Linked DNA regions of Lepisosteus oculatus. Each later gene encodes a partner of the first gene's protein in a complex. Links are inferred from orthologs where the notes say so. Each region holds a gene or a part of one and is shown in the gene's direction. Other genes may lie near its edges.

Region 1 (16,301 bases):
AAAAGTTGTATTGTTTTGTCTTTTAAGGAATGATTACTATAAGTGCTGTTTCCTACTTATCACCCTTCGACCTCCCCTGGTTTTTTCTTCAGCAAAGGATTGATGTCCTATCTAGTGTCGCTGAACTGAAGCATCTTTTGGCCTGACAAAATATATTTATGTAATAATTCCTCTTTGTAAATATTGTGCGACCTTTGGGGTTTATATACAGATTTTATTTCTTTTTCTGTTTTATTTTGGATCTGGGACATAGACTACAGTTTGAAAGTGCTGGATTTATTTTAAACTGTGACTGTATCCTATGTAGTGCGACAATGCATTTACCTCGGGAAGCCTTTGAGTGATATATTTTTGGTCAACAGTGAGCTTGGCAGTAATTGTAACTGCCTCCTACTGTATGTAAAAGTGTCCTGACTTGCTTACTTTGTTGAAAAGGGAGAAAACTGAATGGTAACTGTAAATGTATGAAGCTGACCTTTACTTGTAAGTTATTTTTCCATTAATCTTTTTAATTAAAGGAAAATGGATTAATAAAACTACTATTAACAAATGTCCCTACATAATTGTGTCATAATATTTTGTCCCTACAAAATATTGTGGATACAAATTTGGAGATAAAATAAAAAATAATCTTGTTGTTTGTTTGGGTTTTAAAGTAATATTCTTTACACAATAAATAACATTATTATTATAACACCTTTCAGACTCAGCCCCTTACAAATATATTTCAAATGGAAAAAAGGGTAAATAACGCGAGCTAAAATGACCAAGCTAACATTGATATGAATGAGAACGAGTGTGAAAAGTCTGGTTTTAAAAGCAATTTTGTAAAAGGGATTTTAAATAGGGCATGGCTATGAATTCCGCAGTCTCAATACAGTATAATAAAGTTTTCTTTTACTTCACTCTTTGGGATACAAATTAAATCACTGCCAGCAGACCTATATCTATGTGTAAATTAAGAACCTGTTAGTTGATATCTGTTAAATATTAGGGGTTCCGGCAAGTAGGTAATTTATACGTTAGCAAAAGAATTGAGGCGGATGAAATAAAGCCTGAAAAAATGTATCAATCTAAATTGAAAACCGTTCCAGAGACGCAAAGCCGCAAGTAATCTTGGCAGAATAAACATGGATCACTCACTATTCCCTCGACGTTGATGCAACTGTATGATTGCTTCTCGGGGATTTCCTTTGTGTGGTTGGCTTTTATTTTTTGTGAAAAACACATACCATAGTAGAAATAAACGGCAAGGAACAGCATCTGGGCTTATTGATGAGGCATTCGACAAAGCTACAATTATATGTCCCTTGTCAAACAGAATATCATCTGTAATATCATCCTGAAATAATCTGTCTTTTCACATGCTGACACATAAGAATGAAACAAAAGACCTTGTTTTGCCGTTCGCATTTATTGTCACATTTTATAAATTGGTTACAAACCAAAGACGTTTGCAGTTTTTTAAACGGATAACTTGATTCTGCGTTCTGTGAAGCTGCTCCTTTAGGTGCAAAGCACTTGTCCCGGGAAACTCAAGTCAAACCACCAATTTTCTTTCTTGAAAAGAAAATCGCAGGAAATCCTTTCGTGCGGTGTAAATGTCTAGGAATCGTACAATTTGTATAATCTAAAAAAAAAACACGTATTGACGAATTCAATTAATGTATTTGGAGTGCGTAACATACAATACCCCCTACCTAACATTGCTATGGTAACTTGGAGATTTATGTTTTAAAGATAATGATATTTAAGAGTGCCTAATGCTGTGGGTGTAATAGGGTTAAATGTGTGAAAACGTGAACTGAACCAGCAGTTTTACCCATATCAAAAGTGTGGAAACGACCTGCGGCACACGAAAAGCGATCAGCTGGTCTCTTCTCCATTGTGTCAAATAAGGGGCAGTTTAACTAGGTATCGTTACAGCCATGGTACCTGCTATCTCGTTACTCTACAGACAAAAATTTAATGTTAACACGATTTGTTTTTCTTGTTTAACGAAACTGAAAGCATGGTGATTGATCGCGGAAGTTTTCAAGACTTGATCAGACTAGATTTACGTGAAAAGAGAAGCCCACCACCAACAGTAAATGACGGGGTACGAAATTTGAGCTTAGGGGTTGAATTCAGTTGCATGCCATGGCACAAAGTCCACTTCATTGCACGTCCGGCCAGAGACACGCCGACTTTAATTTTAAAGAATTTAAGTAAGAATAAACTCAGTGATATTTCCGAGCGTCGCCCAAAACTGCATTTCGGGGACCGTCGAGGAATAAAGGGAGTGCATGTCTGAAACGCGGTAGATGCAATCGCAGTTTGACCATGAGAAACTTCTGTTGCTGTGGTTGCCTGACAAATGGGTTTCAAAAATCTGAGGATCATCCAGTAGACAATGATAAATGGTAGGTAAGAGATCGCTTTTGACAACGCTTCTTTATCGAACTGCGCATATCTGTGTCGTGTGTGTGAGTGATTAGGGTCTAATGCGGTTTGTGACACGAACTCGGTAAACGGATATAGATAAACGGGTTTAAAGGTGTTCACATTAGTCACGGGTTTGTAATATTGCATTCTGGAACCCAGTGAATGAGTACCAGTTCAAAAGTACAGTAATTCCCACAAATGCTTTTTGAAGTACGTTTTCCCCGTTTAAGGTTTCATAGTTTGACTTGACTACTGGATAGCTCTTTGCCACTGCTTAATGAATATATATATATACTTAATATGAATATTTCCAAACACACTGTCGAAGACAGCTGTTCATTAAGCCAGACGTTCACAAGCTCGGACAAAACGCTTCTTTACGGCTGTAAGAAGTTTCAATAGTAATAAGAGAAGAGACAGTTGAGTTTGTTAATCTTATTTCTCTTTTTTAGTGTGTCTCCAGGACTCTGATTTGTATTTTAGTGGTAACGGTATTGTTTTCGGACATCTCAAACAGTAGACAGAGGTGCAACTATCAAGAGATCCTCATCGCTTACAAAGAACTAATCCTCACAGAACTCCAAAGCCTGGTATGTACTTGTTATGTATGTGTTTGTAATGAAACAGGAACTATTGCAAAATGAGGAGCTCAATAAATCAAAAAAGCTTTCGTGTAGTGTCCAACTACAAGGTTTAATGGTTAAAATAATTTTACAGAATATACTGTAGGTACACGTCATTGTGGACAGAAGTCCCTCTTCGGGTGATGATACTATTTAACTTCATCTTTATATATGTTTGAGTGTGTGTTGGATTTATACTGTATGTGGGTATGTTGTCTGTGCATTCATGATGTTATTTGCCTGACTTTTACGGGAGTTATTTTAAAATACTAAAAGGCAACAGCCTTTCTCAATGCGAAACATTGTCAGAGTCAGTGAGTTACTGCCCTCTTGTGGTTTGGGAGATCTTGTAGCGATTCAACCTAAATTAATTGCTGTTGTGGACTGATCAATATTCTTCTTTTTTAGAACCTCACAGGTCCTTATGACACATCAAGTGAAAATAAAAATTTAAGAGACCATTGCCCCTCTGGAAAGGTATGATTTAGAGTTTAGCCATTTTAGTTCCACTAATGTAACTTGTGTGTACTTTACCTGATGTGTGTATGTCCTGTACAGTATACATGTATACTGTATGTGTCTGGTATTCTGGTATAGTATGTAAAACTCCAAGGATCTTTAAATGTATATATACACTAGACAAAATCTAAATCACCTTCGTTCATGCTGAGAGCATGGATGATAGTGATTACTCGGACAAAGCTCAGTTGTATGTTTTGCCTTTCTTGCATGACTTAAAATCAAGAGTATAATTTGTGAATGGAGATTTGTAAAGATTCATAATACACTACTGCTATCAATCGTAACTCAAATTAAATTCCAAATTCTATTAGACTGACAACTGTAGGAAGTTACATGACTTACGCTAACTGTATTGTTATCTTAGAAAAACAATTAACAAATCTATTTAATTAAAATGTAAACAACAGAATCTAGACTGGTCTATTGTGTATTTGCAGTACCTAGTACTCTATTAAAGTTAATTAATGCATATCGTTATAGTTACAGTATGTAATATTCTCGTATATTTTTTAGAACAGGAGGAAAACAAAGAATACAGAAAAAAATAAATCTCAGAATTCCCAAGGGAGGCTGTATACACTATCTTAAAATACATGAGTGAACATAATTATTTCTGTAGGGCACCGGTTTCTATCCGTAGAGTATAAGAACAATAGAAGACAGTATTCTGAGCAATATAACTCAGTTTTTAATTCCTTTTCCAAGATGTCACATCCTAGTCCTGTTTTGCATGCACCATGACAAGTAGAACAATGTTCTATGAAGCCACAGTAAGCCCGTTGTTGAACAATTGTCAGGAAAAGTCAGTAAGTTTTAATTTCTAAGCATATTGTCACATAAAATGCATTGATTCTGTAACAAAAACCTTTATTCAGATCAGGAGGCAGGTCAGAAAGAAAACAGTTCAATACCATTCTCCCTTACAAGAGAGGTATTCAGCACCAAGGACAGCACACGGCAGATTTATTTTTTTCGTGTTTCAGTGCCATTGGGGTCAAGGGAATTGTGAAAGGTGTTGGTCTTATGTCAGTCAAACCACTAGGAGTTCTCAAAAAAAACTAGTCCATCAAGTTACTCATTGAGCTAAGCATGGGGATTTCTGATAGTCAGAGGAGAAATTATAAGAGAAAACGTGGAGAACAATTTCACGATTTTCAAGCAGTAAGTTGTATACTGCCACCCCATAATCAGTTTTTTCATGGCTAGGCAACAGTGCATGATGATACAGCAGAGTATAATTTGTGCTGGAACTGAGTACTTTTCATTTGAAGATTGATGATTGGGCTGTAAATCTTTTGTAAATATGATACTCTATAGGTTTAGAGAAACATGAAGTTAATTAAAAGGGAAGTTTTTTTTTCATTATGCTTTTGGACACTTACGAGGAAGCATGTCTTGGAATAGGATGCAAAGTCTGAATTATCTGCTAAATAGCCTTCTAGCTTAATATCTGAATTCAACTAATTGCTCTGCCAGTGCTTTGTTTCAAACCCTGAAATTTTATTTTGATTATTTTAGGTACACCATATCCTGCAGTCTATCTACAATATGACACAGTTTTTTAAATGTCAAGTCAAAGGTAAAGGATCAAATAACCTAGGTAACCCTGTGAAAAGAATGGAAATGGTTATTAAACAAAACTGCAATTATGCTGACCTGGTAAGTTACTGTGATATAACACTTTAGAAGAGGGCTTAAGTCCAGCAGATATTATGAGTTTATTATAATCATCAACAGACTTATAAGTTTATTTTAATCATCAACAGACTTCAGGAAAAGAATTTAAGTAACTCACTTAAGGCTTATTCTTATTGATTAAGGAATCAATTTGGAGATTTTAATCCTCATGTACAGTAGGTTCTGAAACTGCTGGTGATTTCAGAAGGAACAAAAGTCTGTGATAATGAATTTCTGCTCAGGGATGTGAAGATAGAAGTGAATCTAGGGACTGTAGTGAAAAAGAGAGAACAATATTCTCCTTTTCCCCAACATCATTGTTCGCTGTGCTTCCACAGTTTTGAATAGCGCATGTACACAACACAAATTCTCACCTGGTGATGCTTCAAAAGAAATGATTTTTTTCTCCAAGAGGTTAACAAGGAATATATGCTTTGGTATTTTGTTTTTCAGATAAGAAGATCAGAAGGTGACCCAGTATGCACAAATAGTAAAGGTTTAGGAGGGAAAAGAAGGAAAAAAAAGAAAAAGAAGATTATCGAGGCCTTAATATTGTGTTGGAAGAAGTTACAAATCATGTATTCTCCAAAACCAAAAAGAAAGACATAAACTAGGAGGAATACACACTAAAGGAAAGAACTGTTAAGGGATTTGTAAATAATCAATAAAGATTTTAGCAGTTACAGTCAAAAACTGTACAAAATATAAGCTTTTGCCACACCTAATGTGAGAGCTTTTATAAATACTTTAAGAAGAAATATTTGGAAAGACACTTACATATTCATAGAAATGTACCATACTCACATACAGTATGCTGTATAGATACTGGGACTTTGAGAGTTAGATGTATTAAATGCATCATTTTTCATTTAATCATTTAAAAATTAAAATATAAAAGACTTTTCAACTTCTGTTTTATTTTTTTGTTTAGTAGGTTGTACTATTTATTAACATGTATCCCCTTAACCTAAACCTATGCTAGTTATAAGAACAAGAATATTATTTTTTTATTTATGTTTGTAATTATATGTTTTCCAAGAGATAGATTCTTTGTTTTTAGTTGATGTTGTTCACCATCACAATATTCTAATTAATTCTGAGATGTGCCTGTCTTACAATATCAGCATGGTGTCATAAATGATGCTATAAAATAGCATATCTTGTTATTAATATGGTCTAAGAAGATCTTTTTAAGCTATAATGCATTTATTATTGTAGACATTTAAAAATGCTGTTTAATCTGTATGGCTAACGTAAAGTTATATTGTTAACATGTACTGTATTTACATACTATATTGCCTGTATAGCTGGTCCTTTGTACTGTATTTACATACTATATTGCCTGTATGTTCTATTGTGGGTATTGATTTTGTCTCCAAGATCCATCCAAAAATATATTAGCTGAAGAAAATGTTTATATGACTATAGGGTTGTTATGAGTCAAGTTAGCTGATTAACAGAATGACCTTCAAGGTGTTGACGTTCAGTTGGTATCCAAGATGGTGCCGTTCCCATGGTGACGTCACGCGTGCAGCTCTTTCTTCAGTACTTTGAGGTCAATGAAGGGAAAAGATTCGAGCTCTCCATTTGGTGCTTTTATTGAAATGCAATGCTATCATATGCTTGAGAGTTAGAAGCTTGATTTAAATGGATATTGTAAAAGATTGTATAACCTTTATAAGATAGTTTGTGACTAAGGTGCAAATAGAGTGAGGTCAATAAAAGAAAACAGAAAATGCATGTTGTTGTATATTTGGATGTTTCTGTGTTCAAAACTTCAATGATGGCCATCTTTCATCTGTTTCATGACGTGCACAAGACTGCAGTTTATAGATCGGTTTAAATAAACCATGTCTTTTCTTCCTATGAATTATTGTTATTACATTTACTGTATATGAAGTATTTTAATCCTACTTTATTTGATTAGCTTTGTGATTTTATTTCATGTCTTGTAATACACTGTGGATTTAGATTAAAAACACCTCAATTCACTGAATATTATTTCAAGGTAGTTAATATTACATGCTAAAATAAAGATTAGAACAACAATTGAATTCAGCTTGGCCCTATAGGTGTGTAGTCATTTTGAATTATAGCACAGTGGACTAAACCTAGTCCTGGTTGGCCAGTCTGAACATAGGTTTTATATGTCTAATTAGAGAGCCGGAATTTGAAGAGCAGGGAGAAGTTTGTAAATTGGTCCAATTTAACAAATAACTCCTCAAGAGCTGTGGAATGTTTTTTTTATCCCTGCATTGAGGCATCTACTATTGCCCTAAGTTCTTTTGTGTTAGTATTTTCCCCCCGAGAATAATATTACTATTATTTTAAAGACTAAAATACATATTGTTTTTATATCAGATTGTTTAAATATCGTAATTTTACTTTATTATGTTTTTTTTTTACAGATTTCTATAGGGAAGTTTTTCCAATGGTGCCATACCTGCTCCATAATGAGGCCAATACCTATTAAGGATTAATTTTCTATGGAGATTCTTAAAATGTTTATATTGTATAATCGGAACCTTTTTTCTAATTGGTTTTTGGTTCCTTAACAAAAAAGGACCGGAAGTGAGCTCTCTGGTACACAATACGTTGCTACGCGTTTACGTTCAGGAACGTGGAGTTTTGTCTGCTATGCTACAGAGCTACGCTCCGTGATCGTTCAGGTGACTTCATTATATATTGACTAAATATATATTAGGCCCTCAAAGGTAACGTTTTGCTGGCTAGAAAATTACGGTACAGTGCCAAGAAATCGTATTGTTGAAGTCGCAGTTAATTAGAAAGATTTTTTTAAAACGAAACGTTTCAACACAGTTTTTTTTTCGTAATTTTATACTTGCATCTTTGTGCTAAAGGAATTATACGACTATGGGAAAACATCTTTGTTTTTCTAAGTTGGGGTTAGTGATTGTGACTGATAGTATAGATCATTCTTAGCACTTTTTAATGTAAAATACCGGGTAAACTGATCTTGACATTTCATTCTCACGCTGTCTGGAGCCACAAGAACGACTTAATTTAAAAGTGAATTGTCGTTTTTTTTTCCATTGTAGATAAGTTGACTATTTTAGGTGCGAATTGTAGTTGCAGAAGCCTTGTCGAGTATTATGGAGGAGCCATACCTAGGTCCTTTTGTTTCAGAAATGTCACAATGTTTTGCTTTATTAAAACCTTAGCTCCTAGGTTATTTTATTTGATGTCTTGCTGTGGTCCATGTAAGTGTTTAATTGTCAGTTTTGTGCTCTTTCTAGTAGATATGGCCAGCATGGACATGGATCCTGAACTGGCCTGCAGTCTGTTTGAGGAGGGGGCCACACTGGTTTTGTTGGGGGTGCCCGAGGGGTCGGAGCTGGGGATCGATTACAAGACCTGGCAGGTGGGTCCCAGGTTCCGAGGGGTCAAGATGATCCCACCGGGCCTGCACTTCCTGCACTACAGCGCTTCCAACAAGCCGGAGCAAGGAGGGGAGACTGGGCCTCGGACTGGGGTCTTCCTCTCTCTCAAAGCCCGAGACGTCCTGCTGGCTCACTGGGACAGCCAGCAAGAGGACCTGGACTTCTCCGCCTCCCAGAACGAGGAGGAAGTGGCCCGGGTGCGGGCTGGGCTGCGCGATCTGGACCGCTTTCTGGGACCGTACCCCTACGACATGCTTCGGAAGTGGGTCTCCCTGACGGACCGCGTCACCCAGGAGGTTGCACAACGCCTGCAGCCCCTGAATGGCAAGATCTGTGCCTTCAGCGATGTGGTACCGGAACTGTCGTTGCCTCACACGGAAGATCGGGTCCAGCAGAACCTCCCACGGTACGACATCCAGTGCCAGAGCATGCAGGAGGGTTTGGACAGGCTGCCTAAGATGAAGCTGAGAGCCGGCACAGAGCTGCGCTTCTCAGAGATCCCCAAACAGACCTACCCTGAGGGGGCCACACCTGCCCAAATCACCCAGTACAGTATGGACCTCAGTTATGCCCTCAACAGCTTACTAGAACGCTACTACAAAGACGAGCCACTGCAAGTGCTGGGTGAGTTCTGGACTGAAAAAACACACTCTGACACAATTCAAAGCCTTTACAGTTCCTTGCATTGATTGATGCTATAAAATGCCAGCCTTTTTTATTTTCTGAACACATACAGTAAATCAGGAGATGACTACTAGCCTGTGTAGTTGAATGCCATTCATTTCAGTGTAATTCTAACAAACTTCAGTTTTCAGGATTCCAATAAGCTTTTGCTTTTGATGCAGTTTGTAAGTAAATGACCTTTCCTCTCCTCCTTCTCTCTTTTTTTTTTTTTTCTGTTTTGCTGTCCAGGGGAGTTGCAGTTTGCATTTGTGTGTTTCCTGATTGGGAATGTGTATGAGAGCTTTGAGCACTGGAAATGTCTTCTGAACCTGCTATGCCGCTCTGAAGAGGCTATACTCAACCACCGGAACCTGTACCTCCACCTCATCCCTGTTCTCTACCACCAGCTGGGAGAGATTCCCCCCGATTTCTTTGTAGACATCGTATCCAAAGACAACTTTCTCACTTCCACCTTGCAGGTAGGTTGTTTGGTTCTCTTCACAAAGCTGGTCTTGCTGCCTCAGTGCTGTGCAGCGTAGGAAGACTCCAAATCCAGAATATGAATAGTAAAAGAAGGGTTAAAGTCCTGCGTGATCTAGCGCTTCATTTAGGCCATAATCGGGGCTCTTATAGATTTTCATTATCTAAGCTGTTTGTCACCCCAAGTTTTACCATGGTAAGTTGTCTTCTCTTCCGAGTTTTTTTTTTCTGTTGAAAATTGAGATCGTGTTTGATCTACCAGTTTATCTGGGGACTCACAGTATCTGAGAGTTATACATAAAAGAGTAGCTAGGGAAGAGTACAGAAAGAAGCTTAGTCAGACGTTTTTCATTTAAAACAAAATCATGTTCTTCTTTTGTTTTTTGCCGTACACCAGCCAGGAGAATACGAGGGTGGTTATAACACCAGCCAGGAGAATACGAGGGTGGTAATAAACGAGAGGTGGTCATGTGGCCCATCTGCATGTTCTGCACTGATCTCTGATTTTACTCTTGCCCAGGAGTTCTTTTTGTTCACGAGTGGGCCTGGTGTGGACAGTGGTCTTCGGAAACGGGCTGAAAAGTTCAAAGTCTACCTGACCAAGAAGTTCCGGTGGGATTTTGAGATAGACCCCGAGGAATGTGCCCCTGTGGTTGTAGAGCTGCCAGAAGGAGTGGCTCCAGAATAAGGCTACCGTCTGGGACAGCCCAACAAGAGAGTCGAGCCAGGATGTTGGGCATATCGGTGAGTTATGGATTCCTGACGGCACTGGATTTTTTTTGGGATTGATCAACTGTGCTTGTAACAGAGACCTGTAGTGGAATAGAGAAGTCTGGTTTCCAAAAAGAAAAGTGTGGGCTTGTTGGGAATTTTGTAGATGTTTTTTTAATAACATTTTGCTCTGTGGCACACAGATGGACAGCACTCTGAGCAGATCTCTGAAGATAACCATCTGTATCACTTCTTGACAAGGAGACAGGTTTTTCATTTCCTGATTGGATTTTGGAAGCTGTTCGGTGCTCTGTTTTGTTTCACATATGTGACTACAAAACGTAAAGACTTCTCATGATTTTGAAGTTTCTGCAACTACTGTGGTATTTGGGGTGTGAATGAAATTAAAAATTGAATGAAAGTCTGAAGACTTAACGTTGACATGGTCTCTAGAAAATACAGATCACAGGAAGACATTAAACTCATCTTTTGATACTGGAAAATATCTCTCTTTTGTTCAATTTAATAAGTTTATTTTATTTTCTCTACTTCATGAGTGATACAATTGTAGGTAGATTTCAGATTACTGCTTATTGTAATATTTAAGTATAAAATGATGTAAACAGCCATATACCCTGAAGAAGAATAAGATTGATATGATCTAACATTTTAATCTAGTTTTTACTTTTCCAATGGTAGTCCCAACTAACAGCAAGCATTTCCAAAGCACTTAACCCCTTTTCTTACTCATATTATATTTTGCATCAGAAGGATTGTAACTGTTGTCTCAGTGATTTGTGCTCAACACAAAAAAATGATTTCTGCTTATATCTCAGAATCAAGACATGGGAATGTGGAGAAAATGTCTGCTTGAGCAAACCGTAAGTTTGCATGGAGTGCTGTTCAAGGAATAATGTCATGATACTTCTGTAGGTTTTATCTACAATACCAGCTGCCATACACCTTACAAAGCCATGCACTTGCCCAATACCTCTTACTTACGCAACTCGCACGAAATGAAAAGGAAGAAATTCTATTTTTTGCCCCCTATTGTTGCAGATTGTAAAGACATGATCAGGAATGTTCCCTTTAATAAAATATTTTATCATCTTAATGGAATTTGTGATTGGTTACTTCTGTCTCACTTATTCAAGTTTCATTTTCCTGTCTTGGTCATCAGGTTACACTTCATCATGCTTTGTAGCTTTGTTTTCCTTGCTATACTTAAGGATACAGTGTGTCTTTGACGGTAGAGCTTAATTACACTTCAAATCAATTAACTAATGTCTATTCAAGAGCTGAGGTACTGGTTGAACAATTCATTTGTGTCTGAAGTCCTTTGTAATACAATTAATGGACCTTAGATTAAGAATAACGTGATTGGAATAGAATAACTTGATTGCTTGTGTTCTTAAAATTACAGCTACAGCCCAGGGGGTTTCTCGAAAAGAGTAGGGGGGTAACCCAGGCATGCTCGCCATCTTGACCCTCCTGCATTTTTACAGCGTTTCCAGTCGGGTATTGTGAGCTATTGTCGTTTTAACATTCTCCACTAGATGGCGACCTTAACTCAGCATTGCCGTTGTTACTGAAACGTTGTTCACGACACGAGTAAACAATAAAACCAAAAAGGCTCATATGAAAACAGTGAATTGCACATTTTTTTATTAAAATGCACGTCCTACAGAAAATTAGATGTTAACTTGTTAACTAAATAAAAACCAAAAAGGTACAGTTTGGGTTTATAAGGTCATAGTTTGCAATCTGATATAACATTTTATGTACTAAGGGAATATTTGGTGTTAAAATAAGAGACACGACAATTTATTTTCTGTAGTTACTCTGTTTTTTTAGTGTTTTTGTACTTTAAGTCCTTACATTGCTTTGGAATGATTTATTGTACTTGTCAGTGTTTTATAATACTTTCTCAATGGCCTGGCCTGACATTAAGGCTTTACAATGGCACTTGAAACCAAGGTTTTCAAGTCACTTGTTGGAGAGTGAAGACGCCCTGCTGTTTTATTCTTAGAAAGTGAAAAGTCAGTTCTACTGAACTTCCCTTTTAGAAAGCTGAAATAAAACAGGGCATTTTTCTGAGGTGCAGTGGTATTCATTTTGCAGGAACAGACCTGATGCTTGTCTAGCAAGTTAACATCACAGACATTCCTCTCTGGAAAATAGATCTTGGTTTAATGACATGATTGGATAACCTAATTTCTCCAGCTGCATTCTTTCAGTCTCTTAAAAATATTTTATTTAAACTTACTGAGAAGTGAGACATGCTTACCAAAATGTGCCATAAAAAAATCATGTCTTATTTCTAAAATGAGGAAAAAATATTTATGACTGCACCCTTTTCAATTTCAAATTGCAGCTTTTACAAGACTTTTTCCTGTCTGACATTGTAATAAGTGCATGTTCTGTGGAATACCATGTTTTTTAATGTTAAAGTTGCCAGTAAGTCAGTTAATGGTAATTAGCATGCAAAGTGTGTATGAATCTTTCACTATAGATTTAATTGATTAATTGCTTGGAGTGGAGTCAGAGATCCTAATAAAGTCTGGACCCTGCAGGAGTCTTGCATTGATGCCCAGGGCTTTAACTTCCTCTCAATGGACTCTTTGGTCTTAGAATAAACACTTGGATGTCAGCTGCAAGGTTTAAGCTATTGGTGTGAAAACACAGGAAGAAAAGTGATCTGATAGAAGCACTTGTTTTGTTTTTTTGCCCATTTCCCTTTTTTTATTTCTGGTTTTAGCCTGTTTTTCTATTTTTAAAAATAAATAAAAATAAACTTCCCTCTTTTGTAAAATAAGCTACCTCTTATCTTTGTGCAACCCTTTCTTGTTTGGATGCCCACTTGTTACAGAATTTCGCTTGCTGCTATGTATCTTGTACTGGGACAGTGACAGTGTTGACCAAGCATGCTCTCCTGCAGACAGAGTCCCACAGTAAGCCTGGCACTGTTGTCTGGAGTCACCCCTTGGCCCTCACTGACAACACTGTTGAGCTGGGTACAGATCTGCTCTTCGTGGCAAGCCAAGGTACCCTGGACAATTCAGTCCCACCTTGCCCTGGTGGTACTTGCTCAGTGATGTGCCGCCGCCAGAAGAGTCCCAGTTTTGACTGGCTGGTGACATAGCCCCCATCACAAAGTGGCGATGTCTGCACTGTAGTGCTCAAGCTGTACTTGGAACAGGCCTGTTTACAAGGTGAGCCACTGAGGAGCTCAGAATGAGGTAAATAGAAATTTGTTTTGCTTTGTAGTACTGGTATAGGTTGAACAGATCTGCTATGTTTTTGGCTATTATGGAGCCAAAGTGCAACCTTCAGTTTAAGCCCTGGGTACTTTGAAAGCAGGGTACTTTATGTGCGAATAAGCTTTTGCTGCCTCCTGCTGCTTCCAATTAGTGCCATAGACGAGCAGAACGGTGACCAGGTTTGTACACGGCATGATCTGAAACTTGTACACTTGATCGGCTGAGGAGATTTGTCAGTTCTGTAAACATTTTAAAATCTCCCAGGCTTGCAAAGCACTGTCATTAAAATCCCAGCATTCATAAGACATGGGCTGAAATTGCCTTTCTAATGTGTTCAAAAAAGTGGACAAAATAAGGCCCTTGTGTGGCCTTCAAGTGCTCTGAAAGGTAATGCCATTCGAGCACATGAGGTTACGATAACTTTGGATGGAATAACAGGCTAATTACTTCCATGTTTTTTTTTTACAAAGGACAATATTGTTAAGTGAAATTTATCTGAAATAATTACAAGGAAATCAAGCTTGCACTGGTTGTTACAGATGACAGATCAGTTTGAAAAGGAACTTGAATGTTGTTACAAATTGTTTTAATTGGTTTTGCAGAATTAAAGCAATCTAAGATCCATGAAAAGGGAAAACTTTTCATATTGCAAATGCGTTGGGTAAGCAAAATGAAATCAGCAAACGTATCCTTAGACTTGTCAGGCTAAACTCTCGGCACATTGCATCTACTTGCTTTGGCAACACAGTCTGTAGAGAGTGAACTTCCAGCGCTTTCTCCCTCACTGTGTCCTTTTTGTAGTAGATCGGAGATTGTCCCATAAACATAGCCTTAAAAAAGAATTGGAAAAGATTTTAAAAGTATTGCTCCTCATGTCCACTGGAGTTGGATTTTCTAACAGCTGGATGCTGCTCAGAAATAGCAGTGGTCCTCCCACAGCAAATCCTGTCACCATTCAGTTTAGGATTGAGCACTAAATCTTTATCATTGCTTATCTTTTCTCCCTGCACTGCAGTGACTGGTTGTCCCTAATTAATGGCACTGGAACCTGCCAACACAACCACCACAAGGAAGGTCTTAATTCTCCTCTAAGCTTTAAGAGGGCTTATCTCCCTCTGCTTGGAAAACACTCCCACAAGGCATTTACTGAGAGCACAGGTTCAGCTCCATCATCCAGGCATCACTAGGTCAAGACTAGATCGTGTCACTAGCTGGCCAAGATTGGGTTTTCCCCCAACAGCAGAGCACCGATAGAATAGTACTGGGGTTAGCCAGGCAGGTTTGTCTTGGTTGTGTATCAGAGAGTGACTCCAGTGTCTTGCTGGGTTCTGCAGGCTTGCAATGGTACAGGTGAGTGATGCGTCATTCTGTCAGTCAGCTGGTCCTCCTGGCAGGTGCTGTAGAGTGTGCAGTAGACACACTCCACAAATGATGGATGTCTCTGCAGGCAAGCATCTCAGAGGATCATATCCGCATCGCTTCAAGAGCCACACATTAGCAGTTCTAAATTGAGAGGATTTATAAAAAAAAAAAGGTGATAAAAATGCAAAAATATCTTAACTGGATTTTTTGAAGGTTTAGTAAACCAGAGCTTCTCAGTATGTACCCCTGGAATTTCAAAAATATACTAATGAGGAATAGTTTTGTTTGCTTTAGGGAAATATATAAAGTATATTAAATGTCTAAGATAGCAATTGTGCCAAAGCAAACACCACCTTCCATTCTTATGACATATAAATCCTTAAAAATGAGTACAAAGCTTGTCACAGCCCATTTTTTCTTTTTGTTACTGTTAATAATTTATTTAACTGACACCTTTATTCATGGTGACTTGCATTCATAATAGTAAATGAACTGTAAAAACATGTCTCGCTCACACGCGCATTGCTAATGAATTTCAGAAATGCCTTGTTCTCAAAGCACCTAGGTTGTCACAATGTGGTTAACTAGTTATCAGCTCTCCAAAGCAGGATCTTACTGTCCTAGTATTTAAAGACTGAAAACTAGCTAGATAATTCCCCAAGGCCCTTTATACAAGAGAGCCCAGTAAGATAAGCTGCCTTTGGCTTTGGTCCTGAATGTAAAACGGCTCCTTTCAATGGTGTGTTTTTTGTTTTCCTGAATGTATTTGAGCTCCTTGATCAGAACTGATAGGCGTGTTATCGTCATTTCTAGGTTTTGTTAAATCAGATGTAATTATGAGCTACAAGGCAGTCAGCATGCCGAAGAAAATAGCTTTTCAATCTCTGCAGAAAACAGCTCTGCAGTCTGGGAAACGTGGACCATATTGGGGTGGAAAAACAGGCTGGACAGGATGAGAGAAAACGGGTGAATCTCTCTTTTTTAATTTTAACAAGAATCCATCGCAAGGCACGATGGATGAACAGCTCATTGCACTGACAAGCAATTATTTTCCATGAGTTACTTTGGCAAAACACGATGATTGTAATTGAAATGAATGACCTACCAATAATTGCAGCTGATCATATCCCAGTATCAGCTGCACTGATAAATTGTGCTGTTTTACTTCAGGTATCAGG
Region 2 (15,868 bases), on another chromosome or scaffold:
GCACACTGAGCACACAGTGTATAGAAACTGTCTTGAATACTGCACACTGAACACAGTGTATAGAAACTGTATTGAATACAGCACACTGAACACAGTGTATAGAAACTGTATTGAATACTGCACACTGAGCACACAGTGTATAGAAACTGTATTGAATACTGCACACTGAGCACACAGTGTATAGAAACTGTCTTGAATACTGCACACTGAACACAGTGTATAGAAACTGTATTGAATACAGCACACTGAACACAGTGTATAGAAACTGTATTGAATACTGCACACTGAGCACACAGTGTATAGAAACTGTATTGAATACTGCACACTGTACACTGGGTATAGAAAGTGTAGTGAATACTGCACACTGAACACAGTGTATAGAAACTGTATTGAATACTGCACACTGAACACTGGGTATAGAAAGTGTTTGCAAACTGGTTTCTTACCGGAGTCTCAGGTAAGCAGCTCCCGGTGCCCAGTCTGCGTGTCCGCGGCCGTGTGCTGACGTGCGCGTCACGGGCGGCGGTAGTGTACCTGCGCGGGGTGGGGCAGCGGCGGCACACCTGCGCGTCACACCTGCGCGTCACTTCCAGGTGCGGCTCCGCGCGTGCGAGCGGCGCCTGTCGGCTCACCTGCAGCGCCGGCGGCGGAGCAGCAACACGCCTGCGGGTCGAGTCTGAGCGCCTTCCCTCCCGGCCGCCGCACTTCCCCGTTTCTCAACCACTTTCAAACTCACAGAGCTTTATTGGCATGACGGCTGAGTCACAGTGCCGCCAAAGCAGCAAAAGTGAGTCAACATTTAAAAAACTGTCGGCTACATGACACAACACTACTGAGAGACAGGCTGCGTGCTCCTCAGGCTGGGACAGGAGATCACACACTGTGTTATTATTATTGAGAGACAGGCTCACTGTCTGTTCCTCAGGCTGGGACAGGAGATCACACACTGTGTTATTATTATTGAGAGACAGGCTCACTGTCTGTTCCTCAGGCTGGGACAGGAGATCACACACTGTATTATTATTATTGAGAGACGGGCTCACTGTCTGTTCCTCAGGCTGGGACAGGAGATCACACACTGTATTATTATTATTGAGAGACAGGCTCACTGTCTGTTCCTCAGGCTGGGACAGGAGATCACACACTGTATTATTATTATTGAGAGACAGGCTCACTGTCTGTTCCTCAGGCTGGGACAGGAAATCACACACTGTATTATTATTATTGAGAGACAGGCTCATTGTCTGCTCCTCAGGCTGGGACAGGAGATCACACACTGTATTATTATTATTGAGAGACAGGCTCACTGTCTGTTCCTCAGGCTGGGACAGGAGATCACACACTGTGTTATTATTATTGAGAGACGGGCTCACTGTCTGTTCCTCAGGCTGGGACAGGAGATCACACACTGTATTATTATTATTGAGAGACGGGCTCACTGTCTGTTCCTCAGGCTGGGACAGGAGATCACACACTGTATTATTATTATTGAGAGACGGCTCACTGTCTGTTCCTCAGGCTGGGACAGGAGATCACACACTGTATTATTATTATTGAGAGACGGGCTCACTGTCTGTTCCTCAGGCTGGGACAGGAGATCACACACTGTATTATTATTATTGAGAGACAGGCTCACTGTCTGTTACTCAGGCTGGGACAGGAGATCACACACTGTATTATTATTGAGAGACAGGCTCACTGTCTGTTCCTCAGGCTAGGACAGGAGATCACACACTGTATTATTATTACTGAGAGACGGGCTCACTGTCTGTTCCTCAGGCTGGGACAGGAGATCACACACTGTATTATTATTATTGAGAGACAGGCTCACTGTCTGTTCCTCAGGCTGGGACAGGAGATCACACACTGTATTATTATTGAGAGACAGGCTCACTGTCTGTTCCTCAGGCTGCGACAGGAGATCACACACTGTATTATTATTACTGAGAGACGGGCTCACTGTCTGTTCCTCAGGCTGGGACAGGAGATCACACACTGTATTATTATTATTGAGAGACAGGCTCACTGTCTGTTCCTCAGGCTGGGACAGGAGATCACACACTGTGTTATTATTATTGAGAGACAGGCTCACTGTCTGTTCCTCAGGCTGGGACAGGAGATCACACACTGTGTTATTATTATTGAGAGACAGGCTCACTGTCTGTTCCTCAGGCTGGGACAGGAGATCACACACTGTATTATTATTATTGAGAGACAGGCTCACTGTCTGTTCCTCAGGCTGGGACAGGAGATCACACACTGTATTATTATTATTGAGAGACAGGCTCACTGTCTGTTCCTCAGGCTGGGACAGGAAATCACACACTGTATTATTATTATTGAGAGACAGGCTCATTGTCTGCTCCTCAGGCTGGGACAGGAGATCACACACTGTATTATTATTATTGAGAGACAGGCTCACTGTCTGTTCCTCAGGCTGGGACAGGAGATCACACACTGTGTTATTATTATTGAGAGACGGGCTCACTGTCTGTTCCTCAGGCTGGGACAGGAGATCACACACTGTATTATTATTATTGAGAGACGGGCTCACTGTCTGTTCCTCAGGCTGGGACAGGAGATCACACACTGTATTATTATTATTGAGAGACGGCTCACTGTCTGTTCCTCAGGCTGGGACAGGAGATCACACACTGTATTATTATTATTGAGAGACGGGCTCACTGTCTGTTCCTCAGGCTGGGACAGGAGATCACACACTGTATTATTATTATTGAGAGACAGGCTCACTGTCTGTTACTCAGGCTGGGACAGGAGATCACACACTGTATTATTATTACTGAGAGACGGGCTCACTGTCTGTTCCTCAGGCTGGGACAGGAGATCACACACTGTATTATTATTATTGAGAGACAGGCTCACTGTCTGTTCCTCAGGCTGGGACAGGAGATCACACACTGTATTATTATTGAGAGACAGGCTCACTGTCTGTTCCTCAGGCTGGGACAGGAGATCACACACTGTATTATTATTACTGAGAGACGGGCTCACTGTCTGTTCCTCAGGCTGGGACAGGAGATCACACACTGTATTATTATTATTGAGAGACAGGCTCACTGTCTGTTCCTCAGGCTGGGACAGGAGATCACACACTGTATTATTATTATTGAGAGACAGGCTCACTGTCTGTTCCTCAGGCTGGGACAGGAGATCACACGACAGGCTCACTGTCTGTTCCTCAGGCTGGGACAGGAGATCACACACTGTATTATTATTATTGAGAGACGGGCTCACTGTCTGTTCCTCAGGCTGGGACAGGAGATCACACACTGTATTATTATTGAGAGACAGGCTCACTGTCTGTTACTCAGGCTGGGACAGGAGATCACACACTGTATTATTATTGAGAGACAGGCTCACTGTCTGTTCCTCAGGCTGGGACAGGAGATCACACACTGTATTATTATTACTGAGAGACGGGCTCACTGTCTGTTCCTCAGGCTGGGACAGGAGATCACACACTGTATTATTATTATTGAGAGACAGGCTCACTGTCTGTTACTCAGGCTGGGACAGGAGATCACACACTGTATTATTATTGAGAGACAGGCTCACTGTCTGTTCCTCAGGCTGGGACAGGAGATCACACACTGTATTATTATTACTGAGAGACAGGCTCACTGTCTGTTCTTCGGGCAGGGACAGGAGATCACACGCTGTATTATTATTATTGAGAGACAGGCTCACTGTCTGTTCCTCAGGCTGGGACAGGAGATCACACACTGTGTTATTATTATTGAGAGACAGGCTCACTGTCTGTTCCTCAGGCTGGGACAGGAGATCACACACTGTATTATTATTATTGAGAGACGGGCTCACTGTCTGTTCCTCAGGCTGGGACAGGAGATCACACACTGTATTATTATTACTGAGAGACAGGCTCACTGTCTGTTCCTCAGGCTGGGACAGGAGATCACACACTGTATTATTATTATTGAGAGACAGGCTCACTGTCTGTTCCTCAGGCTGGGACAGGAGATCACACACTGTATTATTATTACTGAGAGACGGGCTCACTGTCTGTTCCTCAGGCTGGGACAGGAGATCACACACTGTGTTATTATTATTGAGAGACAGGCTCACTGTCTGTTCCTCAGGCTGGGACAGGAGATCACACACTGTGTTATTATTATTGAGAGACAGGCTCACTGTCTGTTCCTCAGGCTGGGACAGGAGATCACACACTGTATTATTATTATTGAGAGACAGGCTCACTGTCTGTTCCTCAGGCTGGGACAGGAGATCACACACTGTATTATTATTATTGAGAGACAGGCTCACTGTCTGTTCCTCAGGCTGGGACAGGAGATCACACACTGTATTATTATTGAGAGACAGGCTCACTGTCTGTTCCTCAGGCTGGGACAGGAGATCACACACTGTATTATTATTACTGAGAGACGGGCTCACTGTCTGTTCCTCAGGCTGGGACAGGAGATCACACACTGTATTATTATTATTGAGAGACAGGCTCACTGTCTGTTCCTCAGGCTGGGACAGGAGATCACACACTGTATTATTATTATTGAGAGACAGGCTCACTGTCTGTTCCTCAGGCTGGGACAGGAGATCACACGACAGGCTCACTGTCTGTTCCTCAGGCTGGGACAGGAGATCACACACTGTATTATTATTATTGAGAGACGGGCTCACTGTCTGTTCCTCAGGCTGGGACAGGAGATCACACACTGTATTATTATTATTGAGAGACGGGCTCACTGTCTGTTCCTCAGGCTGGGACAGGAGATCACACACTGTATTATTATTGAGAGACAGGCTCACTGTCTGTTACTCAGGCTGGGACAGGAGATCACACACTGTATTATTATTGAGAGACAGGCTCACTGTCTGTTCCTCAGGCTGGGACAGGAGATCACACACTGTATTATTATTACTGAGAGACGGGCTCACTGTCTGTTCCTCAGGCTGGGACAGGAGATCACACACTGTATTATTATTATTGAGAGACAGGCTCACTGTCTGTTACTCAGGCTGGGACAGGAGATCACACACTGTATTATTATTGAGAGACAGGCTCACTGTCTGTTCCTCAGGCTGGGACAGGAGATCACACACTGTATTATTATTACTGAGAGACAGGCTCACTGTCTGTTCTTCGGGCAGGGACAGGAGATCACACGCTGTATTATTATTATTGAGAGACAGGCTCACTGTCTGTTCCTCAGGCTGGGACAGGAGATCACACACTGTGTTATTATTATTGAGAGACAGGCTCACTGTCTGTTCCTCAGGCTGGGACAGGAGATCACACACTGTATTATTATTATTGAGAGACGGGCTCACTGTCTGTTCCTCAGGCTGGGACAGGAGATCACACACTGTATTATTATTACTGAGAGACAGGCTCACTGTCTGTTCCTCAGGCTGGGACAGGAGATCACACACTGTATTATTATTATTGAGAGACAGGCTCACTGTCTGTTCCTCAGGCTGGGACAGGAGATCACACACTGTATTATTATTATTGAGAGACAGGCTCACTGTCTGTTCCTCGGGCAGGGACAGGAGATCACACGCTGTATTATTATTATTGAGAGACAGGCTCACTGTCTGTTCCTCAGGCTGGGACAGGAGATCACACACTGTATTATTATTATTATTGAGAGACAGGCTCACTGTTCCACAGGCTGGGACAGGAGATCACACACTGTATTATTATTATTGAGAGACAGGCTCACTGTCTGTTCCTCAGGCTGTGACAGGAAATCACACACTGTATTATTATTGTTAATATTAGAATTGAGGGACACTGTACAGTCAGGGGGCCATCTACAGTCTCTCGTGTGAGGAGTCTGTCTTGTCACAGATCCCAGCCTGCCCTCCAGGAGACACACACACACACACAGGGAGAGCAGCTGGGGGTCAGGCCCTGGCTCACGGGCCCAATGGAGTAGGATTCCTCTGCGGCCGCAGGATTCGAACCAGTAACCCCCAGCCACAGGCACAGATCTTGAGCTCCAGAGCCACCACACCATCCCGCCCCAATACAACGCCTTCCTTCGAGCAGTCAGTGGTACAATCTGGGGTACAGTCTGGGGTTCAGTCTGAGTTATAGTCTGTAATGAAGCAGTGCAGTCTGGGGTACAGTCTGGGGTACAGACTGGGGTACAGTCTGAGGTACAGTCAGGGGTACAGACTGAGGTTCAGTGTGGGGTACAGTCTGGAATACAGTCTGAGGTACAGTCAGGGGTACAGACTGGGGTACAGTCTGAGGTACAGTCAGGGGTACAGTCTGGGGTACAGTCTGGGGTACAGTGTGGGGTACAGACTGGGGTATAGTCAGGGGTACAGACTGGGGTACAGTTGGAGGTACAGTCAGGGGTACAGTCAGGTTGTGGAGTCTTCCCTGGGAGTGCAGGACACACTCTTCAGGACACACCTGGAGAAGACCCTGCAGCCGAAACGCTGTGTTTTCTCTCTTCTCTCCTCAGCAGGATTGTGGGAATGGGAAGGCAGAAGCCAGAAATGTATTTTGGTTCTGTCCTGTTTGCTCGTGGCTATGACTGTGATGAGGCAGCGGAGCACTTTGAGTGACACACTGCTCCAGCTGCGGTGTTCAAGGGAACGTTTCCGCAGGTCCTTCCTCCCGGCATATACCCATGCACATTTTGCACATCTTTTATTGTTTGACAGTGACTATGAGCATATTTTGCTTACTCTATTTATTTGATTTTGTATTGCTGTACTTGTTTTAATTTTCCGTCTAGTCCGATGTCTGTTCTTGCTCGTCTTGGGCTGGGCTGCTGTAACGCCTCAGTTTCCCTTCGGGATCAATAACTCATCTCGTCTAATCTCTCTATTGTAAAAACCTTCTGGACTGATTTGCAAACTTATATAAAAAAGAGGCGAATATTAATCATATTTAAGGAAACAGACGTGATGTTGAACTTCAATCCCATTGGAACTAAACGAAAATATATTTTGTAATTGACGATTATTATACCGGGACGTTATTCTACTCAGGAAGAGTCCTGTGTCTGAACATAGATGTGAGGGCGTATTTGTAGACTGTTTCGAAATGTGAAAACATGAAAGCGGTGCGGACCTTATCTCTATTTACTCTGTTTAAACGATGTTATCGATATGTTTTACGAACTCTTGTTTATACTGTATTTCCTTTTGTTGTTTAAATACAAAAAAGACTGTGGATCGGGGCTCAGACACGATGCTGTAAGATCTGTATCTTTTCCCAGATCGATGAGCACCAATGAGTCTTTTTTACTGGGGTTACTGGTAATCTCTCTTGAGCGGGCCGCGTCGTGCCTCGAGTCTGAGGCGAAAACGTCACTGTTATGATAAGAGCTAAATTTTGTGAGTTTGACATATGTTTGTAAAATATTTTAAAATATTTTATTTAAACACCAGAAATACAAAAAATGAGACAGAATAATGAAATATATACAGAAATAGACACTTCAAAGCCAGAGGAATCCACAGTTGTAAAAACTAAAAATTATACTTATTAGATATATCTTTTACAAAGGTCTGGCACGGCCGGATCGACATGACGTCAATAATCTGCGACTGTTCCCGTTCTTCTCAAAGGAAGGAGGTTACTTCCTCCCTCGGCGGCGCTGTTTATCTACGTCACTTCCTCTTGTTTGCGCATTGTGGCGCTGTAATAATTCACGTCGTGAGCACAGCTGTAAAATAAAGGTAAATAATATTACATATCAGTACTAATGATAAGCACAATCGTACGGAATTCTCATTGGGTCTGTCCTCATGTTTTTTTCTGTTTGGTGCTGTGAAAGTAACTCTGGATAGTAATACTGTTGGAGCTGTGTGATCATCTCCAGTAAATACTGGAGAGATTCAGAAATTAAAGAGACCTACTGTCACTTCAAAGTACACTTGTCTGTTGGGATTACATTCAGATTGTTATTCTGTGGTTAATCATGTTATTGAATCGTTAAATCAGTCAGTGCGTCTGTATTAACCCCTCTTTCTCTCCCAGTGCAGTGTTAATGTACTGGAGTGTCCAGTCAGTGTGTCTGTATGAACCCCTCTCTCTCTCAGTGCAGTGTTAATGTACTGGAGTGTCCAGTCAGTGTGTCTGTATGAACCCCTCTCTCTCAGTGCAGTGTTAATGTACTGGAGTGTCCAGTCAGTGTGTGTGTATTAACCCCTCTCTCTCAGTGCAGTGTTAATGTACTGGAGTGTCCAGTCAGTGTGTGTGTATTAACCCCTCTCTCTCTCAGTGCAGTGTTCATGTACTGGAGTGTCCAGTAAGTGTGTCTGTATTAACCCCTCTCTCTCTCAGTGCAGTGTTAATGTACTGGAGTGTCCAGTCAGTGTGTGTGTATGAACCCCTCTCTCTCTCAGTGCAGTGTTAATGTACTGGAGTGTCCAGTCAGTGTGTCTGTATTAACCCCTCTCTGCCTTATTCCTCTGTCTCCCTCAGGATGTCGAAGCGCAGGGTGATGTTTGAGGATGAGAATGGAGAGTACAGTCTGGAGAATGACCCTCCAAATAAGAAGGTTCAGTACTCTTTCTCAGCAGAAATACCATATGGTTAATACAGTCCTGAGTAGAGACCCTGTCTGGAGGGTATGAGACTGTATGTGAACACAGTACTGAGTGTGACAGTTTCTCGCTCTCTCTGCGGGTGTGTGTCTGTGTGTTTGTCTCTCTCTGCGGGTGTGTGACTGTGTGTCTCTCTCTCTCTGCGGGTGTGTGTCTGTGTGTCTCTCTCTCTCTGCGGGTGTGTGACTGTGTGTCTCTCTCTCTGCGCGGGTGTGTAACTGTGTGTCTCTCTCTTTCTGCGGGTGTGTGACAGTTTTTGTCTCTCTTTCTGCGGGTGTAACAGTGTGTGTGATTCTCTCTCTCCCTGCTGCAGGTGTGTGACAATGTCAGTGGCCCTGGCTCCAGGTTCAAGGGTAAACATTCCCTGGACAGTGATGAGGAGGAAGAGGAAGAGGGACAGAAGTATGACATGCTGGCCAGTGACGATGTGGAGGGTACTGTCTCACTCTGTCGTCGCCGTGTGAGTGCGGCTCACTCTGTCTGCTCTCTCACTCCCCCGCTGTCTCCCCTGTGCAGGCCAGGAATCGGCGACCCTGGACTTTGACGAGGGGGTGCGCATCACGCCCTTTAACCTGGAAGAGGAAATGCAGGAGGGACACTTTGATTCGGAGGGAAACTACTTCCTCAACAAGGAGCAGCAGATTCGAGACAACTGGCTGGACAACATCGACTGGGTGAGACTGGAGCTGGTCACACCACAGCCGGGCCAGACCGTAGCACTGGGTCACACCACAACCGGGCCAGGCCGTAGCACTGGGTCACACTGGAACCAGGCCAGACTATAGCACTGGGTCACACCACAACTGGGCCAGGCCGTAGCACTGGGTCACACCACAGCTGGGCCAGGCAGTAGCACTGGGTCACACTGGAACCAGGCCAGACTATAGCACTGGGTCACACTGGAACCAGGCCAGGCCGTAGCACTGGGTCACACCACAGCTGGGCCAGGCAGTAGCACTGGGTCACACTGGAACCAGGCCAGACTATAGCACTGGGTCACACCACAACCGGGCCAGGCCGTAGCACTGGGTCACACCACAGCTGGGCCAGGCAGTAGCACTGGGTCACACTGGAACCAGGCCAGACTATAGCACTGGGTCACACTGGAACCAGGCCAGGCCGTAGCACTGGGTCACACCACAGCTGGGCCAGGCCGTAGCACTGGGTCACACTGGAACCAGGCCAGACTATAGCACTGGGTCACACCACAACTGGGCCAGGCCGTAGCACTGGGTCACACCACAGCTGGGCCAGGCAGTAGCACTGGGTCACACTGGAACCAGGCCAGACTATAGCACTGGGTCACACTGGAACCAGGCCAGGCCGTAGCACTGGGTCACACCACAGCTGGGCCAGGCAGTAGCACTGGGTCACACTGGAACCAGGCCAGACTATAGCACTGGGTCACACCACAACCGGGCCAGGCCGTAGCACTGGGTCACACCACAGCTGGGCCAGGCAGTAGCACTGGGTCACACTGGAACCAGGCCAGACTATAGCACTGGGTCACACTGGAACCAGGCCAGGCCGTAGCACTGGGTCACACCACAGCTGGGCCAGGCCGTAGCACTGGGTCACACTGGAACCAGGCCAGACTATAGCACTGGGTCACACCACAACTGGGCCAGATCTTAAAACTGGATTATAGCAGGTCAGACTGTAGACCAGGTCACACTGGACCTGGGTGGTACTGGGGGGTGCGTCTTCTGGTGTGAGTGTGTGTCTTCTGCAGGTGAGAGGGGGCGGAGGGACGGGCTCGGTAGGTGTGGGTGTGAGGGGCGGGGTCTGTAGGTGTGGGCGTGAGGGGCGGGGTCTCGTGTGGGCGTGAGGGGCGGGGTCTCGTGTGGGTGTGAGGGGCGGGGTCTCGTGTGGGTGTGAGGGGCGGGGTCTCGTGTGGGCGTGATGGGCGGGGTCTCGTGTGGGCGTTCAGGGGCGGGGTCTTCTGCAGGTGAAGGAGTGGGCTTGTATTCCAATGAGGGTGAAACTCCTCTAGTACACCGTACGTACACGAGAGAGAATCTGGAATGGCGTCAATGACCCTGTCCCTGTCCCTGTCCCTGTCCCCCTCTCCCTCTCCCTCTCCCCCTGTCCCTCTCCCCCTGTCCCTGTCCCCCGTCCCCCTCCCCCTGTCCCTGCCCCTGCCCCTGTCCCTCCTGCCAGGTGAAGATCCGAGAGCGTCCCCCACAGCGCCGCCGGGGGCTGTCGGCCAAGCGCCGGCGCAGAGCGGGCGACGAGGACGAGGCGCAGGAGGAGCTGGAGAGGGAGCAGCGGGCCGGGGAGGGCGGGGGCGGAGGCGAGGGCGAGGGCGGGGGCGCCCCAGACACCAGCGCCGACGCCCCGCCCGACCCCCTGGCCTCCCTCAGCCGCCAGCAGCTGACGCAGGCCGTGGTGGAGCTGCTGCTGCCGGGGGAGACGGTGGCCAGGGCGCTGCGCAGGCTGGGCGGGCTGGGGGCGGGCGGCCGGGACGCCCCGGCGCTTGACCGGCTCACCGCGCTGGCCGACAGGCTGGTGGGCGGCGGCGACTTCGAGATCTACCAGCAGACCTACGAGAGCCTGGCCTACAGGTCGAAGGTCAAAGCCCCGGCGGGCGGCGGGCGGGGCGAGGAAGACGAGGAGGACGAGCAGCTGGACATGTTCGCTGACAAGATTGACGGGACTGAAGGGGAGAAGAGGAAGGAGGAGGAGGAGAGAGAGACAGGTGGGAGAGAGAGAGTGTGTGTGTGTGCGAGAGTGTGCATGAGTGTGTGTGTGAATGTGTCTCTGTGAGTGTATCTAGGTAAGTGTGTAAAAGTGTGTCTGAGTGTGTGTCTCTGAGACTTAGTGTATGTGTTTGAGTGAGTGTGTGTCTGAGTGAGTTTGTGCGATAGTGCATCTGTGAGTGTGAGTGTGAGGGAGTGTGTGCATACTTGTGTGAGTGTGTGTGTGTGTGTTTGAACCTATTTCACTGGTCACGAAGTACTGCACGTGCACCTGACCCCACGTGTTCTGACTGTTCAGAGTTTCCTCTCTGTGTTTCTCTCTCAGTGAGCCAGGAGGTCATGTGGGAGTACAAGTGGGAGAACAAGGAGAACTCAGAGCTGTACGGGCCTTTCAGCAGCCAGCAGATGCAGGTTAATATATCAGTGCAGTGTTAATGTACTGGAGTGTCCAGTCAGTGTGTGTGTATGAACCCCTCTCTCTCTCAGTGCAGTGTTAATGTACTGGAGTGTCCAGTCAGTGTGTGTGTATGAACCCCTCTCTCTCTCAGTGCAGTGTTAATGTACTGGAGTGTCCAGTCAGTGTGTGTGTATTAACCCCTCTCTCTCTCAGTGCAGTGTTAATGTACTGGAGTGTCCAGTCAGTGTGTCTGTATTAACCCCTCTCTCTCTCTCAGTGCAGTGTTAATGTACTGGAGTATGTCCAGTCAGTGTGTCTGTATTAACCCCTCTCTCTCAGTGCAGTGTTAATGTACTGGAGTGTCCAGTCAGTGTGTCTGTATTAACCCCTCTCTCTCTCAGTGCAGTGTTAATGTACTGGAGTGTGTCCAGTCAGTGTGTCTGTATTAACCCCTCTCTCTCTCAGTGCAGTGTTAATGTACTGGAGTGTCCAGTCAGTGTGTCTGTATTAACCCCTCTCTCTCTCAGTGCAGTGTTAATGTCCTGTGTGTAATGTAACCCTGATCTCTCTCTCTCTCAGGACTGGGTTGATCAGGGCTATTTTAAAGAAGGAGTTTATTGCCGGCGAATTGGACATCCCAGTGCACAGTTCTACAACTCTAGGAGACTGGACTTCGAGCTCTATACCTGACATCTGCAACTACACACTCACAGAACCAGGAATATTCTTACACACATACAATGATACACAAATATTCTTACACACATATGCTCCTACACACACATACACTCTTAAACGCACATATACTGATACACTCATAAATACTCCTCCACACACACTATTACACACACAGTCCCATGCACTGACACACTCTTGTGCACATCGACAGCTGACATACAGCTGTTCTCCATGGTGATGTTCTGTATCTGTACAGTTCTGCTCAGTTTGTAATAAAGGAAAGAGGATGACTTTAGATTTAAACATGCAGTTATGTTCATTTTTGTGTATTTTTTACTTTGTATTTTTTTTATTTATAGTGTATATGTGATTTGTATTTCAAGCTCAGTGTGTCTGTACAGAGTGACCACTCCAGTCCAGTGTCTCTGTATGGACACTGACCAGTCCAGCAGAGCTCTGTCTAGTGTGTCTGTACACACACTGACCAGTCCACCACAGTGTGTCTGTACGCAGTGACCAGTCCACCACAGTGTGTCTGTACAGAGTGACCACTCCAGTCCAGTGTCTCTGTATGGACACTGACCAGTCCAGCACAGTGTGTCTGTATGCAGTAACCAGTCCAGTACAGTGTGTCTGTACGCAGTGACCAGTCCACCACAGTGTGTCTGTACGGACACTGACCAGTCCAGCAGAGCTCTGTCTAGTGTGTCTGTACACACACTGACCAGTCCACCACAGTGTCTCTGTACGGACACCGACCAGTCCAGTACAGTGTGTCTGCACGCAGTGACCAGTCCACCACAGTGTGTCTGTACGCAGTGACCAGTCCACCACAGTGTGTCTGTACGGAGAGCGACCAGTCCAGTACAGTGTGTCTTTACGGACACTGACCAGTCCGGCAGAGTTCAGGACAGTGTGTCTCTATCTGTATGATAATTGAACAATTTCTCCTTTTGAATTGACAAATCTCAGTCTCTGCGAAACCAGCCCCGATCGAGCGAGGGCGGCTCCTTGAAGAGCGAACGGTGAAGCTCCAGCCTGCGGACACAAACACCGCTGTCCGTAAGAAGTCAGTGTCGCACAAACTGCGTCACTGCTGCGCCGCACGGCTGCGGCCAATGACCCCTTCAACGTCCAAGTCCCGCCTCAACAGAAACAATCAGATCCCGCCCTCTCGAAGTTTGCGTACTTCTGATTGGGCAGCGCTTCACGTCCTAGTGCGCCGATTGGTAGACTTTCCAAGTTTCTGCGAGGATGAAAGCCCAGCTCCATTTGCTCAGCTCCCATTGGCCTGCCTTCTGAAGGAAACGGCTCCCATTGGCTAGGCCGTTGCTGCCCTACTGCTTCTCATTGGCTGGGCTCTCCGCCAGAGCAGAGGGGCGGGCGCTGGCGGACGAGAGCGAGAGGTGATTGGCCAGCAGCGGGGCCGGAGGCTGGGTTAGGTTGTGCGTGAGAGGCGGCGTAGTGGCGGCGACGGCGGTGCTGGTCTGTTTACGGGTTGGTGGACAAACAGGGGAACAGCGTCGCGGCGCGCAGGTTCGTGTTGTTACTCGCGGGGGGAATCACGCTTTGGAACAGTCTGGGAGAGGAAGCGAGTGTTGTGTCTCTGCAGAAGATGGGCGCAGCCCGAAAAGCCGTGGAGAGGCGCTCGCGCATCTAGGGTTCGGACCCCGACCGGACCCGACCCGACCCGGTGCGCGTGTCCGTGGGCAGGGTCCCAGTACACCCACGGGTGGGCCCGGGCTCCTGACTCGGGCTGGGATTTTGCCGGGTTCGGTGTCTCCCGGACCCGTCCTGCTGCCGCGTCGCGTCAGGAAGCGGAGTTCGGACTGGAAGCGGCTCTCTGACGTCACCCGGAGCCCGCGCGAGAGCGAGGTATGTCGGTTTATTGGTTTGGTATCGATCGATCGATTGATTGGTTAGAAGTGCACACAGCTCCCGTCTCCGGCCCACGCACAGCGCGCCTGTTTCTGGCCGAACCGAGCCTTTGAAGCGCTGCTGCTGATGGGTCTGTGAGTGTGAAGTTATAGATGAGCCAGTCAGTGAGCTGGGCACATGTGTTAGGGGTCACACTGTACCCCTCCAGTCCAGAGATCACTGGTCCAGTCCAGTCTGGGGCACACTGTACCCCTCCAGTCCAGAGATCACTGGTCCAGTCTGGGTCACTCTGTACCCCTCCAGTCCAGTCGGGGTCACACTGTACCCCTCCAGTCCAGAGATCAGTGGTCCAGTCTGGGTCACACTGTACCCCTCCAGTCCAGTCTGGGTCACACTGTACCCCTCCAGTCCAGAGATCACTGGTCCAGTCTGGGGTCACACTGTACCCCTCCAGTCCAGTCTGGGTCACTCTGTACCCCTCCAGTCCAGAGATCACTGGTCCAGTCCAGTCTGGGTCACACTGTCCCCCTCCAGTCCAGAGATCACTGGTCCAGTCTGGGTCACACTGTCCCCCTCCAGTCCAGTCGGGGTCACACTGTACCCCTCCAGTCCAGAGATCACTGGTCCAGTCTGGGTCACTCTGTACCCCTCCAGTCCAGAGATCACTGGTCCAGTCCAGTCTGGGTCACACTGTACCCCTCCAGTCCAGTCTGGGTCACACTGTACCCCTCCGGTCCAGAGATCACTGGTCCAGTCTGGGGTCACACTGTACCCCTCCAGTCCAGTCTGGGTCACACTGTACCCCTCCAGTCCAGAGATCACTGGTCCAGTCTGGGTCACTCTGTACCCCTCCAGTCCAGAGATCACTGGTCCAGTCTGGGTCACTCTGTACTCCTCCAGTCCAGTCTGGGGTCACACTGTACCCCTCCAGTCCAGAGATCACTGGTCCAGTCTGGGTCACTCTGTACTCCTCCAGTCCAGTCTGGGGTCACACTGTACCCCTCCAGTCCAGAGATCACTGGTCCAGTTTGGGTCACTCTGTACTCCTCCAGTCCAGTCTGGGTCACACTGTCCCCCTCCAGTCCAGAGATCACTGGTCCAGTCCAGTCTGGGTCACACTGTACCCCTCCAGTCCAGTCTGGGGCGCACTGTACCCCTCCAGTCCAGAGATCACTGGTCCAGTCTGGGTCACACTGTCCCCCTCCAGTCCAGAGATCACTGGTCCAGTCTGGGTCACACTGTCCCCCTCCAGTCCAGTCTGGGGCACACTGTCCCCCTCCAGTCCAGAGATCACTGGTCCAGTCTGGGTCACACTGTACCCCTCCAGTCCAGAGATCACTGGTCCAGTCCAGTCTGGGTCACACTGTACCCCTCCAGTCCAGAGATCACTGGTCCAGTCTGGGTCACTCTGTACCCCTCCAGATCTGTCTGGGTCACACTGTACCCCTCCAGTCCAGAGATCACTGGTCCAGTCTGGGGCACACTGTCCCCCTCCAGTCCAGAGATCACTGGTCCAGTCTGGGTCACACTGTACCCCTCCAGTCCAGTCTGGGTCACACTGTACCCCTCCAGTCCAGAGATCACTGGTCCAGTCTGGGTCATACTGTACCCCTCCAGTCCAGTCTGGGTCACACTGTACCCTTCCAGT

What was found.
Region 2: aar2 (region 1) and cd2bp2 share a complex: the UniProt entries of both Homo sapiens proteins name them as parts of the U5 snRNP complex. The link is inferred for Lepisosteus oculatus from reciprocal best matches to the Homo sapiens genes AAR2 and CD2BP2.

The regions. Positions count from the first base shown.
Region 1 is NC_090711.1:6,133,916-6,150,216, forward strand, and holds aar2 (protein AAR2 homolog), read left to right. Parts: upstream 1-7,823; 5' UTR 7,824-7,915; exon of another isoform or gene 7,916-7,960; intron 7,961-8,503; exon of another isoform or gene 8,504-8,506; 5' UTR 8,507-8,508; coding exon 8,509-9,271; intron 9,272-9,559; coding exon 9,560-9,789; intron 9,790-10,310; coding exon 10,311-10,478; 3' UTR 10,479-11,615; downstream 11,616-16,301. UniProt on the Homo sapiens protein: Component of the U5 snRNP complex that is required for spliceosome assembly and for pre-mRNA splicing.
Region 2 is NC_090699.1:1,134,653-1,150,520, reverse strand, and holds cd2bp2 (CD2 antigen cytoplasmic tail-binding protein 2), read left to right. Parts: upstream 1-7,589; 5' UTR 7,590-7,698; intron 7,699-8,446; 5' UTR 8,447-8,447; coding exon 8,448-8,522; intron 8,523-8,881; coding exon 8,882-9,002; intron 9,003-9,084; coding exon 9,085-9,242; intron 9,243-10,728; coding exon 10,729-11,266; intron 11,267-11,592; coding exon 11,593-11,678; intron 11,679-12,243; coding exon 12,244-12,354; 3' UTR 12,355-12,645; downstream 12,646-15,868. UniProt on the Homo sapiens protein: Involved in pre-mRNA splicing as component of the U5 snRNP complex that is involved in spliceosome assembly.